Anolis sagrei: one gene and its partner. The protein of the gene in region 1 binds, or shares a complex with, the protein of each later gene. Links are inferred from orthologs where the notes say so. Each region holds a gene or a part of one and is shown on either strand. Other genes may lie near its edges.

The links.
Region 2: the proteins of BACH1 (region 1) and FBXL17 are in contact, whole or in part, in a cryo-EM structure (PDB 8UAH), measured with the Homo sapiens proteins. The link is inferred for Anolis sagrei from reciprocal best matches to the Homo sapiens genes BACH1 and FBXL17. Residues at the interface, in NP_001177.1 of Homo sapiens: Val20, Leu21, Ser23, Leu24, Gln27, Val32, Leu33, Asp35, Phe39, His48, Arg49, Ser50, Val51, Ala53, Ala54, Cys55, Ser56, Ser57, His60, Ser61, Arg62, Val64, Asn72, Thr74, Pro76, His116, Asn117; in NP_001156787.2 of Homo sapiens: Asp395, Arg421, Asn447, Gln473, Gln498, Glu499, Met524, Arg548, Cys574, Leu575, Tyr598, Val600, Ser601, Asp623, Trp626, Met651, Arg652, Val676, Gln678, Asp679, Cys680, Arg682, Thr683, Glu685, Gln689, Trp692.

The regions. Positions count from the first base shown.
Region 1 is NC_090023.1:68,168,675-68,176,699, reverse strand, and holds the start of BACH1 (transcription regulator protein BACH1), read right to left. Parts: upstream 3,228-8,025; 5' UTR 3,079-3,227; intron 1-3,078. UniProt on the Homo sapiens protein: Transcriptional regulator that acts as a repressor or activator, depending on the context. Binds to NF-E2 DNA binding sites. Plays important roles in coordinating transcription activation and repression by MAFK.
Region 2 is NC_090022.1:246,946,179-246,954,373, forward strand, and holds the start of FBXL17 (F-box/LRR-repeat protein 17), read left to right. Parts: upstream 1-4,544; 5' UTR 4,545-4,681; coding exon 4,682-5,473; intron 5,474-7,841; coding exon 7,842-7,964; intron 7,965-8,195. UniProt on the Homo sapiens protein: Substrate-recognition component of the SCF(FBXL17) E3 ubiquitin ligase complex, a key component of a quality control pathway required to ensure functional dimerization of BTB domain-containing proteins (dimerization quality control, DQC).

The DNA of each region.
Region 1 (8,025 bases):
TGCGTATGCTTACACAAACATCTCTCACCTTTACTTACATCAGCTTTTACTTTCAAGCCATCTTTTACATCCAGCTTTTGACTTCCTAAAGTTCAGCCTATGCTTGTTTACGTTGAAGGATTCACGAATTTTGGCTAGCCTTGATGTTCAACACCAAGCTACACAGAACTTTTAGAAATAGCCTAAGCACTTCCAAAGTGTACACTCTAATCTCTATCTATATAACTATTTCTTTTCTTAAACCTGAGAGGCACTTCCAAAGCATCTTGATCCTTATGAGTCTTTCAAAAATGTTCAAAACTTTCAGACCTCACAGCAGAACAGAATCTTCTGCTAGAATTAAAAACCTACTCACTGGTAGCAAGCTGAATATGTTCTAATGAATTTAATGGCCTTGTGAAGAAAGACAATGGAGGTGTAGCAGATCAGGGTTTAAGATATACTGTATGCTCTATAAGACACAATGCATGTCCCAATGAGGAAGAGCTGGGCGTTACACACATCACTTTACTTTTTATATATCAGACTATGCCAATAAAGTTACCATTATAGCAAACAAAACTACAGCAATCAAATGGTATCCTTTATTACAAAACCTTTGAAGTTTTCATTGTAGTCATAAAACTAAAGTTGAGACAAGCCTAAATTTTTTTCATTAGATTTTAAATTCAAGCTTTATTTCCAATTTTATCCATTTGCCTTGAAATGGGAGATGTTTAGCTTGCAGTATAATTTGGCAGCATCCAGAGAGGCAAAAGTTCACATCAAGGGAGTAAGGGATCAGAAATTCAGTTGATTATTTAGCTATTTTGACAGAGCTAGAACTTTCTGTCACTCTGGATAGAAAAATAGAGAAGGCAGAATGAGGGAAAGGGGCACAATGGATTGCTTGGGATGTTATTTTGCCATTTTTCCTCATAAACTTACAACCTTGGTCTATCGTTGCCTGTTATATTGAGTTTGCAAATGCCTGCTCAAAAAGCCAGGTTTAAACTTTTTTGCGAAATGTTAAGAGGGAGGGGGCCGATCTAATATCCCTAGGAAGGGCATTCCACAGCCATATACCCACTTGCCTTGTTTCTAACAAACTTCACAACCTCTGAGGATGCCTGTCATACTACGTCATCACACTAGCAAATGAATCCACATAAAAACCGGTTTCTGCCTCCTACAGAATTCTGGGGTTTGTAGTTTAGTGAAGCTGTTAAAGGCTCCTCCCTAAACCCCAGAATTCTGCAGGAGGCAGCAACCAGATTTAAAGTGAATTCATTCTCTAGTGTGATGAGGTGATGTGGGTGAAACATCAGGAGAGAATGCTTTTGGAACATGGCCATACTGCCTAGAAAACTCACAGCAACCCAGTGATTCCAGCCATGAAAGATTTCGACAACACTTGTGAAAAAGCTTTTAAAACTCCACGTTTCATACATGACTTCATGCAAATAATGCTGTTAATGATACTATAATAGATGTCAAGGTAATATAAGCAAAACGACATAAGCAAGATCTCATTTTTAAAAAGTAGGTTGAACTACCACTCAGGCAACAGGATTTCCTGTAGGTTTACCACAACAACATCTGTTTCTCACAAAACTCTTTTCAGAACCAATATCAGCAATGAGTCTTATGTCACTGTGTGTGTTATTTGGCATAAACTTTTCCAGCTGGCACAAAATTATACACCAAAAGAATCTTATGAGTCCTTAAAATCTTTGCTGCATTTGCTGCTATAACCTCAAAGGCCGTCGATTCCCCCAAACAAGTCTCTTTAATAGCAATCTAGCCCTACAACGAGATGCTACAACAGACTGGACTAGCACTGAAACTCTATTAGTCATAATAAACTGGTGATAATTTAACAATTTTTAAAATTGTAATTATTTTTAAAAATGACTGATTTTTCAGCTGTTTACATTGGCTTTGGAAGGAAGGCAGATTGTGAAATGAGTAATTATTATTACTCATTCCCCAGAACCTTTAAGGCAGGCCAGGGCAAACTTGAGCTCTCCAGGTGTTTTGGACTCTTAAGCAGCTGAGAGGGAAAAGGAAAGGGCCTCAGGCTATTAGGAATTATGGGAGTTGAAGTCCAAACACCTCGAGGGCCAAAGTTTGCCCAGGCCTGCTTTAAGGGATAACTTTAGCGTGTAGGGAGTATCTATTGTAGCTCTAATGAGGTTCAATTATCCTTTTAACTGCCATGGCTGTGGAATTATGGGATCTGTAGTTTGTTGGGGCAGCAGGACTCTTGGGGCCCTTCCACACAGCCCTATAACCAAGGATATCAAGGCGGAATAACCCATAATATCTGGTTTGAACTGGAATTTATGTATTTATTTATTTACGACATTTATATGCTGCTCTTCTAACCCCAAAGAGGACTCAGAGCGGCTTACAAGTTTTATATATATATATATATATATATATGCACAATATATTATATTATTAGCATAGTACAGTATCAGTATTATATATCACTATATTGTACTATACCATTACATTGTAATATTATTAGTAATATTACATGCAATATGAAATATATAATTATAATATCATATATTATTAGTATTACATTGTACTACATTATAAATATTACATATATATACAATATATTATATTTATATATATATATATATATATATACATGGCAGTGTGGACTCAGATAACCCAGTTCAAAGCAGATGTTGTGGGTTATTCTGCCTTGATGTTCTGGCTGTGTGGAGGGGCCCTTGGTCAGAGAAGGCTAAAAACCTGGTAAAGCTATCTATATTTTCCATGAGCCATGGCAGTGAAGCCATTAATTCTTCACTGTAGATACACCCTTGGATATCCCACAACGAAAACCACCCCACACGTCCTCATTATCGTGCCCAATATACGCCCCCTTTCACCCCAGTCCTGGACTGGGACTTCCCTTCCCAAAGCAAGGAGGCAACAAGCGCAGGCTCAGGGACTCCAGTCCTGGGATGTGCGCATGCGCAATGGGACTCTCCTCCCCTCCCCTCCTCCCTCCCCGCTCCTGCTCCCTCAAGACCCGGCTCCCACGGCGCGAGAGGCCTCTTCGCTCGCCCGCCCACTCACCCGCCTCGGGCCCATAAGCGCGCGGCCCTTCCCGGGAACGCCGGCCATGCAACCTCCTTCCCTCAGGGCCAGCTCGACCGCGGATCCTGCCAGCGCCGCGAACACCCGACCCACCACAGTCAGGTGACCACCTCAGAACCGCCTCCGCCCCCTGCGCGCTCATTGGGCGCCGGATTCCGATGACGTCCACTTTCTCCCTCTTTCCTCCCTACGCGGCGCCTTCCCCTTCTGTTTTGATGCGCATGCGTCGCTCTCGCGCTCTCTTCTTCTTACCCCCCCCCCCCCCCGCACGTTTTCTCAGGTAATAGAGCGGCGCGTCGTCATTGCTCCGAAGGTCTCCCCGCGAGCGTCCCTTCGCCAGTGGCGCGCGCTTGATTCAAGGTTCTCGCGCCCAAAGGGAGGTTTGCCCAGCATGAGGCGTTTCCCGCGCCTCAGTGTCGGGCTGTACAAACACATCAAAACGATCAGCCAGGCTTTGAAGCTGCAAGGTCATCAAATGCTAATCATGGTCGCCAATTACAACATAATAATATAATAATTATAATATATTAATAACATAATATATAAATGTTTGTATATATATATATATATATATATACATACACATACATACTAGCTGTACCCGCCACACGTTGCTGTGACCAACCTTCCCTCCCTCTTCCTCTTCTTTCCTTCCCTCTTTCTTTCCCCTTTTTTTCTCTCATTCCTTCTCTCCTTCCTCCCTCCCTTCCTCCCACCTTTTCCTTCCTTTTCTCTTTCTCCCCTTTCTTCCTTCTCTACCTATTCTTGGACTGCAACTCCCAGCAGTCCTCCTGATCCATCTAGCCACCTACCTATCTCTATGTAATCTATCTGGAGGATTGCTGGGAGTTGCAGTCCAGGAATAGGAAATTGGAGATATGCAGGGATTGGGATGCTCTCGAAGAAATGTAAGGAGAAGAAAGCTTGCACCTTGGAATTAGTGCATTTGGATCATCCTCCTCTCCTAAAGGGTCTGGTCAAGGGGATGCTGGGAGCTGTAATCCAGAAGAGGGTGTGGATATGCTATTATATGTTTTGTTTGCTGGGGAGTCGTTTGTGTGCATGTGCTATTGCATATTTTTGCTTTTTTTGGCTTTTAAGTTGCTTCCGCTATGTTTTCCAGTGTTTTTATGAGTGATGGTCACTCGTTGGCCTCATAAGTGTATTGTGCCCAAATTTGGTGTCAATGCATCCAGTGGTTTTTGAGTTATGTTAATCCCACGAACGAACATTATCTATCCATCTATCTATCTATCTATACACACACACACTTGGCTCTTCAAGCAAGCTTTTGGAAATGCAGTGGAATAGTTAACATGAAACTATGAATAATGAACATGGGTGATTGTATGATAGCTGGGTCCCCCTGCTATGAGCGCTACACAGATGCCGCAAAGGGAAGGGATTGCATGGTGGAGAGAGGAACCGGAGTGAGAGTGGGGAGAGCGAGACACTGAGGGCGGGAATATACTTTATAATATAATAATAACACTTTATTTGTACCCCGCTACCATCTCCCCAAGGGACTTGGTGCGACTTACATGAGGCCAAGCCCGCAATACATCAATAAACAGAACATCAATAAAATAAACATCAATAAACAATCAATGCAATATAAATCATAATCACATAAACAAAATAGACAATAAGCAATCAACAGTAACATATAAACATTTAAAACCAAAGGCCGGGCCAAATGTGATAAATTTAAATTAAAAAAATAGTGCTTATGTGAACCAGGTAGGATATAATTGGGATAGAAATACCTTTCTGACCGCATCTTGGCCTACGAGCCCACGAGGACCTTGAGATCGTCTGGGGAGGCCCTTCTCTCGATCCCGCCTGCATCACAGGCACGGCTGGCGGGGACGAGGGAGAGGGCCTTCTCGGTGGTGGCCCCCCGGCTGTGGAACACTCTCCCGGCACACATCAGACAGGCGCCCTCCCTCATGTCCTTTCGAAAAAGCCTTAAGACCTGGCTGTTCGAGAGGGCATTTAATTAAGTGGTAAGCAACAACATTACGGTAATGAGAACTGGAATGGTATAAGGAAGATGAGACTGGCTATGATTCTACTAAGAGACGAAGCGGATTTTTATGTAGTTTGTATTTGTCGTATAGTTATATGTTGTTGATACTGGCCTTTGTAACTGTCTTTTTATGTGTACTGTACACCGCCATGAGTCGCCCGTAAGGGCTGAGAATGGCGGTTAATAAGTGCATCAAATAAATAAATAAATAAATAAATAGGATTTTTAGAGAGAATGAGGGAATGCAGTCAATCCTAAAGCAGTAGTAAAGTGCATTTTGAGGACATAATGCTGAGGGTTTTCCTTATTCTGGGAAGGCACACTGGAACAACCACATTTTCAAGCTCCTCCTAAAGACTGCCAGAGATGGGGCATGTCTGATGTCTCTGGGAAGTGAGTTCCAGAGTCGGGGGGCCACCACCGAGAAGGCCCTTTCCCTCGGCCCCACCAATCGCTCCTGCGAAAGAGGCGGGAGCGTGATCAGGGCCTCTCCAGATGATCGAAGAGATCGTGTGGGTTCGTATACAGAAATGTGGCCATTTCAGTTGCATTTGAAGGAAGGATAGTAAGGAGGGGAGGGTAAGGGTTGGGATTAGGGTTAGGGTGAGGGTAAGGGTTACATTTTAGGGTTAGGGGTTAGTGTTAGAGTTAAGTATTATCTGTTATTATCTGTGTCTGACCTGGCTTACATTACCTCAGTCTCTCACTGCCCCCCCCCCCCCCCCCGGTCTCAGTAACGTGTTCCATTCTGTGTTGCAGAAACAGCGTAATGCTTGTAGCAGGGGGACCCAGCTATCATACAACCACCTGAACATGGAATAGCTAGAAGATGCTATTGGAAAATGATTTTAACAGGACAACACTGGTGACTATATGATTTAATGATTGTAATGGTTTTTATATGATTATGCTAATTGTTTTAATCGTATTTTTATGACTGTATGGCATCGAATGGTTGCCAATCTGTAACCCGCCTTAGGGCTGAGAAAGGTGGCCTATAAATGTAGTAAATAAATATAATAAAATATAATATAATAATAACATAATAATATATAAATGTCATAAATAAATAATAAAAATAATAAAGCTTCATTTATATACCACCTTATCTCCCCAAGAGGACTCAGGGTGGTTTCCAACATAAGGCAAAACATTCATTTGCCAGAAAGGAAAACCATACAAACAAATTAAAATAAACATCATAAAACAAACGTAAAATTCTGCTAAAACAAACACAAAAATTTAAAAACCTTTATAACTCTATCAGACAAGTTCAAAATACCATTGGGCCAGAATTGCAACATGGGCATGGCCCACTATGAAACGCCTGGGCAAGGGCTAATGCAATAGAGTATCATGGGCCAGGGAAGTGGATAAAGTGCAGAGCCTACAGACTAATCATTCTCAAAAACCAGCCAGGTTTTGAGGTCCCTATGGAAGGAGGACAGTGTGGGAGCTTGCCTAATCTCTTTGGGGAGGGAGTTCCAAAGTCAGGGGGCCACCACTGAGAAGGCCCTGGCAGATCTTCTAGCCCGTGCAGGTTCATAGGTGGAGATGCGATCATGAAGAGAGGCAGAGCCCAAACATTAACACTTGCCTCAAGCCGACAAGAGTTCTTTCTCCCACCCAGAACTTTCCACAGACATATACACTCCACTTGCCTAGTTTCCAACAGAAACCTCAACCTCTGTTTTTGTGAAATTATATTATATTAGTGTAATTATGTTTTATTTAAGTTTTATTTAAGTAGCTGTATTTCGTATTACTTTAACCTTAATTATTTTCTGGTAATTAGTTTATTACTGTCCATTTTGCATTCCTGATGATGTGTGATTTTAAATTATGGCATTGAATATTTGCCTTTTTATATGTATATAAACTGCCCTTTGAGGAGAGAGGATGGTCTAGAAATTATTATTATTATTATTATTATTATTATTATTATTTCCCAAATTTCTCATAAAGCTTTCCATTACCAGGATTGGTTTCATTCACAAAATTTGGCGTAGAAAACGAAGCTTGTGCTTCTCTGGCTTTCTTCCAGTTTCCATTAGTGAGAATTTATCAGTTTATATTGCTTTGACAGAAATACGCTGCTACTGGTAGAAAACAAATATGCTTGAGCTAATTAGGAGCAATATTAATAATTCAGCTGTTTTTCTTGGAGTGACATTTGATTCTGCTGTAATTAGTGTATTTATTTCTAACCCCTTTCCGTGAAAAACCAAAATATTCTCAGTTGGATCCAAAACTTAGCTCTGGGTTTATGCCAGTTATATTTCTAAATATCGGAAGTGGTTTTGTATATTTTTATTTTCTAACTGAATAGAGGAAAAAATAAGGTATTTCCATTAGTTTCCGTGCTTCAACCGCCATCTATCCCATCCTCTCTCAAATTATACATAGCGTTGGCAAGTGGGGTTTATATATCTGTTAAATGTCCAGGATGGGAGAAAGAACTCTTATCTGTTTGAGGCAAGTGTCAATGTTGCAATTGGCCAGCTTGATTAACAAACACTCTGATGAAATACATTGGGGGAGTGGGGAGGAAAATATTTGCTCCAACTTCTGTTTCCCATTAAAAGGTAAACTGCCAGTGGAGGGAGCTCAAGCCCCGCAGTGCTATGAAATCTAACCATGAAGGAGGAGATACTGGGATGAAGATCCAAAGATTAATATGTAAATTAATGTTCCCAGCATTAGAGACAAACAATTATTTTTACATTATGTTTTAGAAGCCTGTTTTTTCCATCCTATTTAAGGAAGTAGTTTTTTGCAGCATAAAAAGGAGAAAGAAAGTGGGAGGATAGAAAAAGAAATCAGGCAGCACCTTTAAGACTAATTGGTTTTTATTTTGGCATGACCTTTCCTGGATATACATTCCAGGTCCCTACCTG
Region 2 (8,195 bases), on another chromosome or scaffold:
AAAAGTGTGACAGACCTGTGGAGTCTGGTTCACCCACCTCTCTGCTCCATGGGAAGGACAGAGATGGTGTACTTGGCGAGTGTCAGATATGCTATGGGAAAGCATGATTCTATACACTTTGGGACTTCTTTCTGAAGGGAAGAGGAAGAAGTGTGCTTTTGGAGTCTTGGATTTTGTGTAGGGAGTCAGGTTCTGCTGTATGGAAAACAGAGATCTGGTCCTTGCCATTGTTTTTAGGGTATAAGTTTTGGCATTTTGAAGTTATGGAAGTTTTGGATCTATGTGTTGGCAGGTTGCAGGAAAGCAGGGTCTGACCTAACTGGTGCTTCTCCAAGGAGAGAGAAAAGGATATGGTAATATTTGGATGCATGACAATGAATGCATGTACATGTGTGTGAATGGTGATTGAAAATGTAATTCCCCTTTGTTTGTTGGTTAGCCATGTAATTGTAAATCCAATGTAGTTGCATAGAATCTGTATGTCTAAACGTTTTTCTGTAATCTGATAGACCCTCTCACACTGGAAATCACAATAAAAAGAACCTATGCTTAAAAGTTATTAAAAAGTTATTCATGACAAATTGGTGTCAGAAATGGGATATGCCTTTCCAGTGTGGGAAAGTTATTCATAACACGCTCTACCATTATTTAGCTCTGGGTTCACTTGTCGTTAGCTACATTTGTCATAGGCTTTGTGCTTAATGCCTTTCTCCCTCAGTCCTTCATATGAAAAAGGACCTCCAGTTGTACATTAACACCATGCGCTGTAATTAACTTATTTTTCAAATACATACAGGATAGAAGATGGCTTGCATATTCATTCACCAACTAGGAAGAAAATTGCTCAGTTTTTAATTCTAAATTTGTGTGTGATCTTCAGTTTCATCTCACACATTCAGTATGTGTGTATGTGCTTTCAAGCTGCATGTCAAGATCATGATTTTTGTAGGGTTTTTATGGCAAATAATATTCAGAGGTTCTTTGCCAGTTCCTTCCTCTGAAATATAACCTACAGGTACTAACCAGCACTGATCTTACTTAGTTTCAAAGAATAGGCAGGATCTGGTAACTTTAGGATATTTAGACCATTTTATTCATCTTACTGAAATCGTTAGTTCCAATTTTCTTATGATTGCTTGCTTATTAGCTCTGATGCTGCTACAAGTTTTCACTTTGCCTGAAACAATGCTGCCATCTAAGGACAAAATGGATAAGTTACAAGCCAGAGCCTTCCAGCTGTCTTTCAAACTGACTTAACTTTGCTCCACTAGAAAAAATATCCCAAAAGAAGCAATGTGGTAATAATTTCATTAGGAGGTATCTACAATATATTACCTAAAGAGGCAAGAGCACTTCAAGTCTCATTATTATACACAATGGCATAGTAAAATGTTGTCTCTTGTATAAAATAGCAAAATCAAGGTTTGCTGTTTTGGATTTATATATATGTATTATACACATACACACAGATGTAATACATACATACATACATACATACATATATACACACACATATAATTTTATATAATATATATTATAAATATAATACATTTTATAATATATTTTTATATTTTATATATAAACCATATTTAACTTGGGTGTTGTAGAAGCAGTACTTCAATTCAAATTTTGATGTAAGTGAGCAATTTCCACCCACTGCGGGGTTGCTTTCTGCCAAGTACAATGCTCTCAGTTCCGAATAGAATCATTGCAGTTTCTCTACCAAACCGAAGGGGGCGGCACTGCGGAGAGACCACAGCACTTCAAGCTCTGTGCTTTTTCAGTGAGAGTCCTAAGAGTAATTCAAATGCAACCTGGAGAAAATTCCTGAAAAACACATACATTACGACCTCTCTACCTCTGAGGATGCTTGCCATAGATGCAGGCGAAACGTCAGGAGAGAATGCCTCTAGACCATGGCCATATAGCCCGAAAAAACCTACAACAACCCTATGTAATAATGCACTGGCATTGTTATTGTTTATTCATTCAGTTGCTTCCAACTTTGTGACCTCATAGGCAAGCCCATGCCAGGGCTCCCTGTCGGCCGTTGCCACCCCCGGTTCCTAAATATATACTGTACACAAGTCTTATCAGCATTTTATCTACCAAAGATGTGAAATTCCATTCTCTGGGATAACCATTTAGTTCTTAACTGTAATTGACTGAATTGTCCATGTGAGGGGCAGAAGGAATAGACATTAAGTATGACATCACTTCAAATAACTCTTGCTTGCAGTTATTATTTTCCACTTTTACAGGCTCTGCAACCAATACACGCTTTCACTGTTTATCGAATTCTCTTGGACCTACGTAAACATTGAGTTTCCCCGTGGCTCTGGCTTATCTCTAAACTGCGGCTGTTATCGTTGACCCAACCAGGTGTCAAGTTTTCTTGCAAGCTCGAGTCAGAAGAAGGGAGTGAATTTTCTTTCTCATGAGAACCTGGTTTTTCTCTTGTAGTCTCTAAATCAAAGCCTGTAGGATTTTTACTGCCCAAAGTGTCTCCATCCTGAACCTCATCCTCATTGATCACTTCAGCCTCACTATCCAAACTAGGCCCTTCAACATTAACATCAATATTATCCACATTAGGCAATACAATCAGAGATTCAGGCTCAAGGTCACACACAGGGTCACACACAGGTTGAGTCCCAACACCGATATGCCCAAATTTGAACTCTGGTGGGGTTGTGGGAGGGTTGATTTTGTCATTTGGAAGTTGCTGGGATTTACAGTTCACCTACAATTAAAGCGTATTCTGAACTCTACCAATCATGGAATTGAACCAAACCTGACACATAGAACTCCCATGACCAACAGAAGATACTGGAAGTTCATGAGTTTTGCAGCTGTAGTTCACCTGAATCCTGACAGCACTGTGGACTCAAACAATTATAGATCTGGACCAAACTTGGCACAAATACCCAATATGCCCAAATGTGGACACTGGTGGAGTTTGAGGAAAACAGACCTTGATATTTGGGAGTTGTAGTTGCTGGGATTTATAGTTCACCTACAATCAAAGAGCATTCTGAATCCCACCAACAATAGGATTGGGCCAAACTTCCCACACAGAACTGCCATGACCAACAGAAATTGCTGTGTTTTCCGATGGTCTTTGAAGACCTCTCTTGACACGCCCTGGCGACCTCTTCAGGGGTCCGGACCCCCAGGTTGAGAAATACTGGTCTAGCCTTTCTTGTTTATCAATCCTAGTTTCATGTTATCTATTCCGCTCCATTCTCAAAAGCTTGTTCAAAGAGCTACGTTTTTACCTTTTTTCGGAGGGGGGACAATCTAATATCCCTGAGGAGCGAGTTCCATAGCTGGGGGGGGGGGGGGGGCACCACTGAGAAGGCCCTGTCCCTTGTCCATGCCAATTGCACTTGTGAGGCAAGCAGGATTGAGAGCAGCGACTCCCTAGACCAGAGGTCCACAAACTTTTTAAACAGAGGACCAGGTCACAGTCCCTCAAACTGTTGGAGGGCCAAATTATAATTTGAAAAAAGCATGAATGAATTCCTATGCACACTGCACATATCTTATTTGTAATGCAAAAAAAAAGAAAAAAGAAAGAAAAACACTTTAAAATAATACAATAATTAAAATGAAGAAAATTTTTAACAAATATAAACTTATTAGTATTTCAATGGGAAGTATGAGCCTGCTTTTGATTGATGAGAAAGAATTGTTGTTGCAGTTGTGTGCTTGCAAGTTGTTTCAGACTTAGGTTGCCACTGAGCGAGGGCCAGGTCGATGACCTTGGAGGGCCATATTCGGCCCCCGGGCTGTAGTTTGAGGACCCCTGCCCATGACGATCTTAAACTCCTAGATGGTTCATAGGAGGAGATACATTTGGACAGGTAAGCTGGGCCGGAACTGCTTAGGTTTTTATAGGCTAAAGCCAGCATTATGAATTGTCAGGCCATTATATGCTAATCAAGGTGGTCAGTTGAAACATTCACACCTAGCTCTAGCAGAGAAGAGTCCTTTGTCTCACCCTGGTCCTTCCACAGATATATAAACCCTTTTGCCTAGTTCCAACAGACCTCACTACCTCTGAGGATGCTTGCCAAAATGCAGGCGAAACGTCAGGAGAGAATGCCTCTAGACCATGGCCATACAGCCCGAAAAAAGCCTACAACAACCCATTTTGAATTGTGTTCGGTAGCAGATTGGCAGCCATGTATTATGTCAATGTGTTGTTGAAGGCTTTCATGGCCGGAATCACTGCGTTGCTGTGAGATATTCGCGCTGTATGGCCACATTCCGCTAGCCGTCTCGTCTTATTATGTCAATGCTGCCCAAAAGTGGAGCCTGTAGGTTTCGGGACTTCAACTCCCAGGATTCCCGACAGTGGGCCAAGCTGGCTGAGGCTTCTGGGAGTTGAAGTCTAAACGAACCTGGCGGAGCGAAGCTTGAGCTCCACTGCGCAGGCGTAGAGGGAAATCCCTCAGAAGCCGGAAGTGAAGGCATCCCGGAGCCTTTTTGTTTTGGTGGTTGACAAACCGAGCTCGTGGGCGGGGCTTGCTTGCCTCGAGAGCGCCGGAAGAGGAGTGTTTTTCCGCCGAGATCCCGGAAGTGGCTGTGTTGTGGTCGCCGGCCTGAGAATGGCTCGCCGGTTCTGCGTGGAGCTGTGAGGGGCCATGTCGTGAGGGAGAGGGCGTCCTCCTCCTTTATGGGCCACTTTCTCTCGCGGAAGGAGGGAACGGGAGCCGCGCCGGGACGCAGCGCGGAGCAGAGCCGCCTCCGCCGCCGCTTTCGCCTCCGCCGCCGGGCGCTGAGCGGCGGGAGCCGGGGCTGCTTCCTCCGCGGGCCTTGCATGCTGTGCTTCTTGGTCCACGGCGCCCCCGAGGAGCCCCCGCAGGCCAGGCGGCCCTCCCCGCGCCTCTTGGCGGCGCTGAAGGAAGAGCGCGGCCTCCGCTGCCCACGCCTCCGCCGGCACCTGCTGCTCTCCGGACTCCTCCTCCCGCCGCCGCCGCCGCCGCCCCCTCCCGGGCGTCGAGGCGCCCCCGGCCCTGCCCTGGAGAGCGGCCAGGCTCCGCCGGAGATGGTCTGCAAGCGCAAAGGCGTCGGACTGCCCGCCTGCCCGCCCCGCAAGCAGCCCCGCTGCGCCGCCATCGCCGCCGGCCCTGACAGCGCCGCCCCGCCGCTTCCGCCACCCGCGCAGCTCGCCTGCCCGCTGCCCTCCGCCTCCGAGCCCAGGGAGCCCGCCGCCAGCGAGAACGGGGCCGGGAGGGCGCTGCCCGCCGAAGGGGCCCGGCCCCAAGCACCCCGAGTCGGCGGCGAGGAGGAGGAGGAGGAGGGCGAGGAGAAGAACAAGAAGGGCGAGCGGCGCCAGCAGGAGCCCCGGCGAGAGCCCCCCGACTGCGAGGAGCCCCCCGAAAACCCCGGCGACTGCTGCTCTCGCGGGGAGCCCCCCGGCCCCACCCCGGACATCAACCAGCTGCCGCCCTCCATCCTCCTCAAGGTGAGCTCACCACTTTGGGCCAAACTATGTGGGCGCGGGGGGGGGGGCAGATGGAAGAGACCGATCTCCCCCTGCCATCCAGCCACGCAGGAAAATACAATCAAAGCACTTCTGACAGGTGGCCATTTATTTATTTACCTTATTTATGCCCCGCCCCCTGGTAGTGCCGTGGGTTAAACCGCTGAGCTGCTGAACTTGCTGACCAAAAGGTCGCTGGTTCAAATCTGGGGAACAGCTCCTGCTGTTAGCCACAGCTTCTGCCAACCTATAAGTTTGAAAATATGCAAAGGTGAGTAGATCAATAGGTACTGCTCTGGCTGGAAGGTAACAGCGCTCCGTGCAGTAATGCTGGCCACTTTACCTCGGAGATATCTACAGACAATGCTGGCTCTTTGGCTTAAAAATGGAGATGAGCACCAACCCCCAGAGTTGAACACAACTGGACTTACCTTAGAGGTGGAAGAGACTGACACCCTCCTCAGGGCCATCTAGCCCAACCCCTTTCTCCCAGGCAGGAAAATACAATCAAAGCACTCTTGACAGGTGGCCATCCAGGTTCTGTTTGAAAACCTCCAGAGGAGGCCCCACCATGCTTGAAGGCAGCACATTCGACTGTCAAACAGCTCTTCCTATAAATACGTTTTTTCTCCCATTTCATGGGAATATTTTTCTTGCAATTTGAATCCATTGTGTACTAGTCTCCAGAGCATCAGAAAACAAGGTTGCCCCCTCCTCAGCATGACATCCTTTCATATATTTTAACATGTCACTCATGTCCCTGGTCAAATAATATTTAGTATAAAGCCAAGTTCTTTTTTTAAACTTTGTGTTTTTAAATGCATTTTAACTGTACCCTCAACTCACTTCTGACACAATAAATAAATCATGTCCCTTCTCAGCCACCTTTTCTCCAAGCGAAACATACCCAGATCCCTCAGCCATTCCTCATATGGCTTGGTTCCAAAACATTTGATCATTTTGGACACCTTCCAGCTTGTCAATGACCTTAAACTGTGATGCCCAGGTGTGGGCCAAGGTTATTCCAGGTGAGGTCTGGCCAAAGCAGAATAGAGTGGGGCTATGATCTAGACCAGGCATCGTCAAACTCCGGCTCTCCAGTTGTTTGGGCCTCCAACCTCAAGAATTCCCGACCATTGAACAAACTGGCTAGATCTTCTAGGACAGTGGTTCTCAACCTTTGGGCCCCCCAGGTCTTTTGGCCTACAATTCCCAGAAATCCTAGCCAGTTTGTCATCTGTTTGGATTTCTGGGAGTTGTAGGCCAAAGCATCTTGGGACCCACATGTTGAGAACCACTGTTCTAGGAGTTGGAGGCCGAAACAGATGGAGAGCCACAGTGTGAGGATTTCTCCCTGTTGGAATTCATTTTGTTAGTTTTGACCTATCTCTCTAACTTGTTAAAGTTATTTTGGATTGTGATCCTGTCCTCATCCTGGAGAGAAGTGGCCAGTGGGTACCAAAGGAGTCTGTCCTGAGCCCAGTGCTATTCAACATATTTATCAGTGGCTTGGATGACAGAATAGAAGGCATGCTTATCAAATTTGCAAATGATACCAAATTGGAAAGTAAAGTAATATCCCAAAGGACAGGACCAGACAGGATCCACTCTGTGTCCAGTTCTGGGCCGTGCAATTTGAGAAGGATTTTGACAAGCTGGAATGTGTCCAGAGAAGGGCGTCCAAAACTATCAAAGGTTTAGAATGAGGAATAGCATCGGGATCTGGGTCTTTAGCTTGGAGCGACTGAGATGAGACATGAATGACCTGTTCAAATATTTGAAAGGATGTCACACTGAGAAAAGGGCAGGCTTGTTTTCTGCTGCTCTGAAGACTGGGAAACACTGGAGCAATGGATTCAAATTGCAGGAAAAAAGATTTCACATAAACATTAGGAAGAACTTCCTGACAGTAAGAGCTGTTCAGCAGTGGAATATGCTGCCTTGGAGCAGGGTGGAGGCTTCTTTGGAGGTTTTTAAGGCTGGTTAGCCGTCTGTAGGGAGTACTTTGCTTGTCTTTTCCTGCATGGCCTTTGTGGACTGAATGGTCTTCCAACTCTAGGAGTCTATGAGTTCTCTAGCCAAATAGAACTGCTTTATGATCGCTCATTGTTGGTGAAGTCCTTAAGCTTTTTACTCAGCATAATGCTGCCTATGTATATGGCACAGTCATTCATCTAGTACACATGTTATTTCTGGGTATTTTAGTTAAAAGAGTTGTAGCTTGATTAAATAATTTTTTGTGAAGTGCGAAGACGCAAACTCAGAAGAAAACTGTTTTCAGGGCATATTTTTGAAAGAATTTCAAGAAATTTAGCTTTAACTAATTTCTGTTTTTTTCTCCCTTTTGTAGATATTTTCCAACTTATCTTTGAATGAACGATGTCTTTCAGCATCATTGGTTTGTAAATATTGGCGTGATCTTTGTTTAGATTTCCAGTTTTGGAAGCAATTGGATCTTAGTAGTCGTCAGCAGGTATGAAAGAACATTTATTGAAAAATGAATACATCTGTAAAAGCAATCCCATTCCATCTTGTTCCAGTCAACATTGAGATTGAGAAAATGTGGATTGGGAGGAAGAGAAAAGGGTTTAATATGGGGCTCAAAGTTTGATTTGTGTTGTTGGAAGGACAGGAGATTGAGAGAAAGAGGATTGGGGAGGGAAAAAGAATGGAGTGAGGAGGTTGATGGTCTGGAAATGGTTTT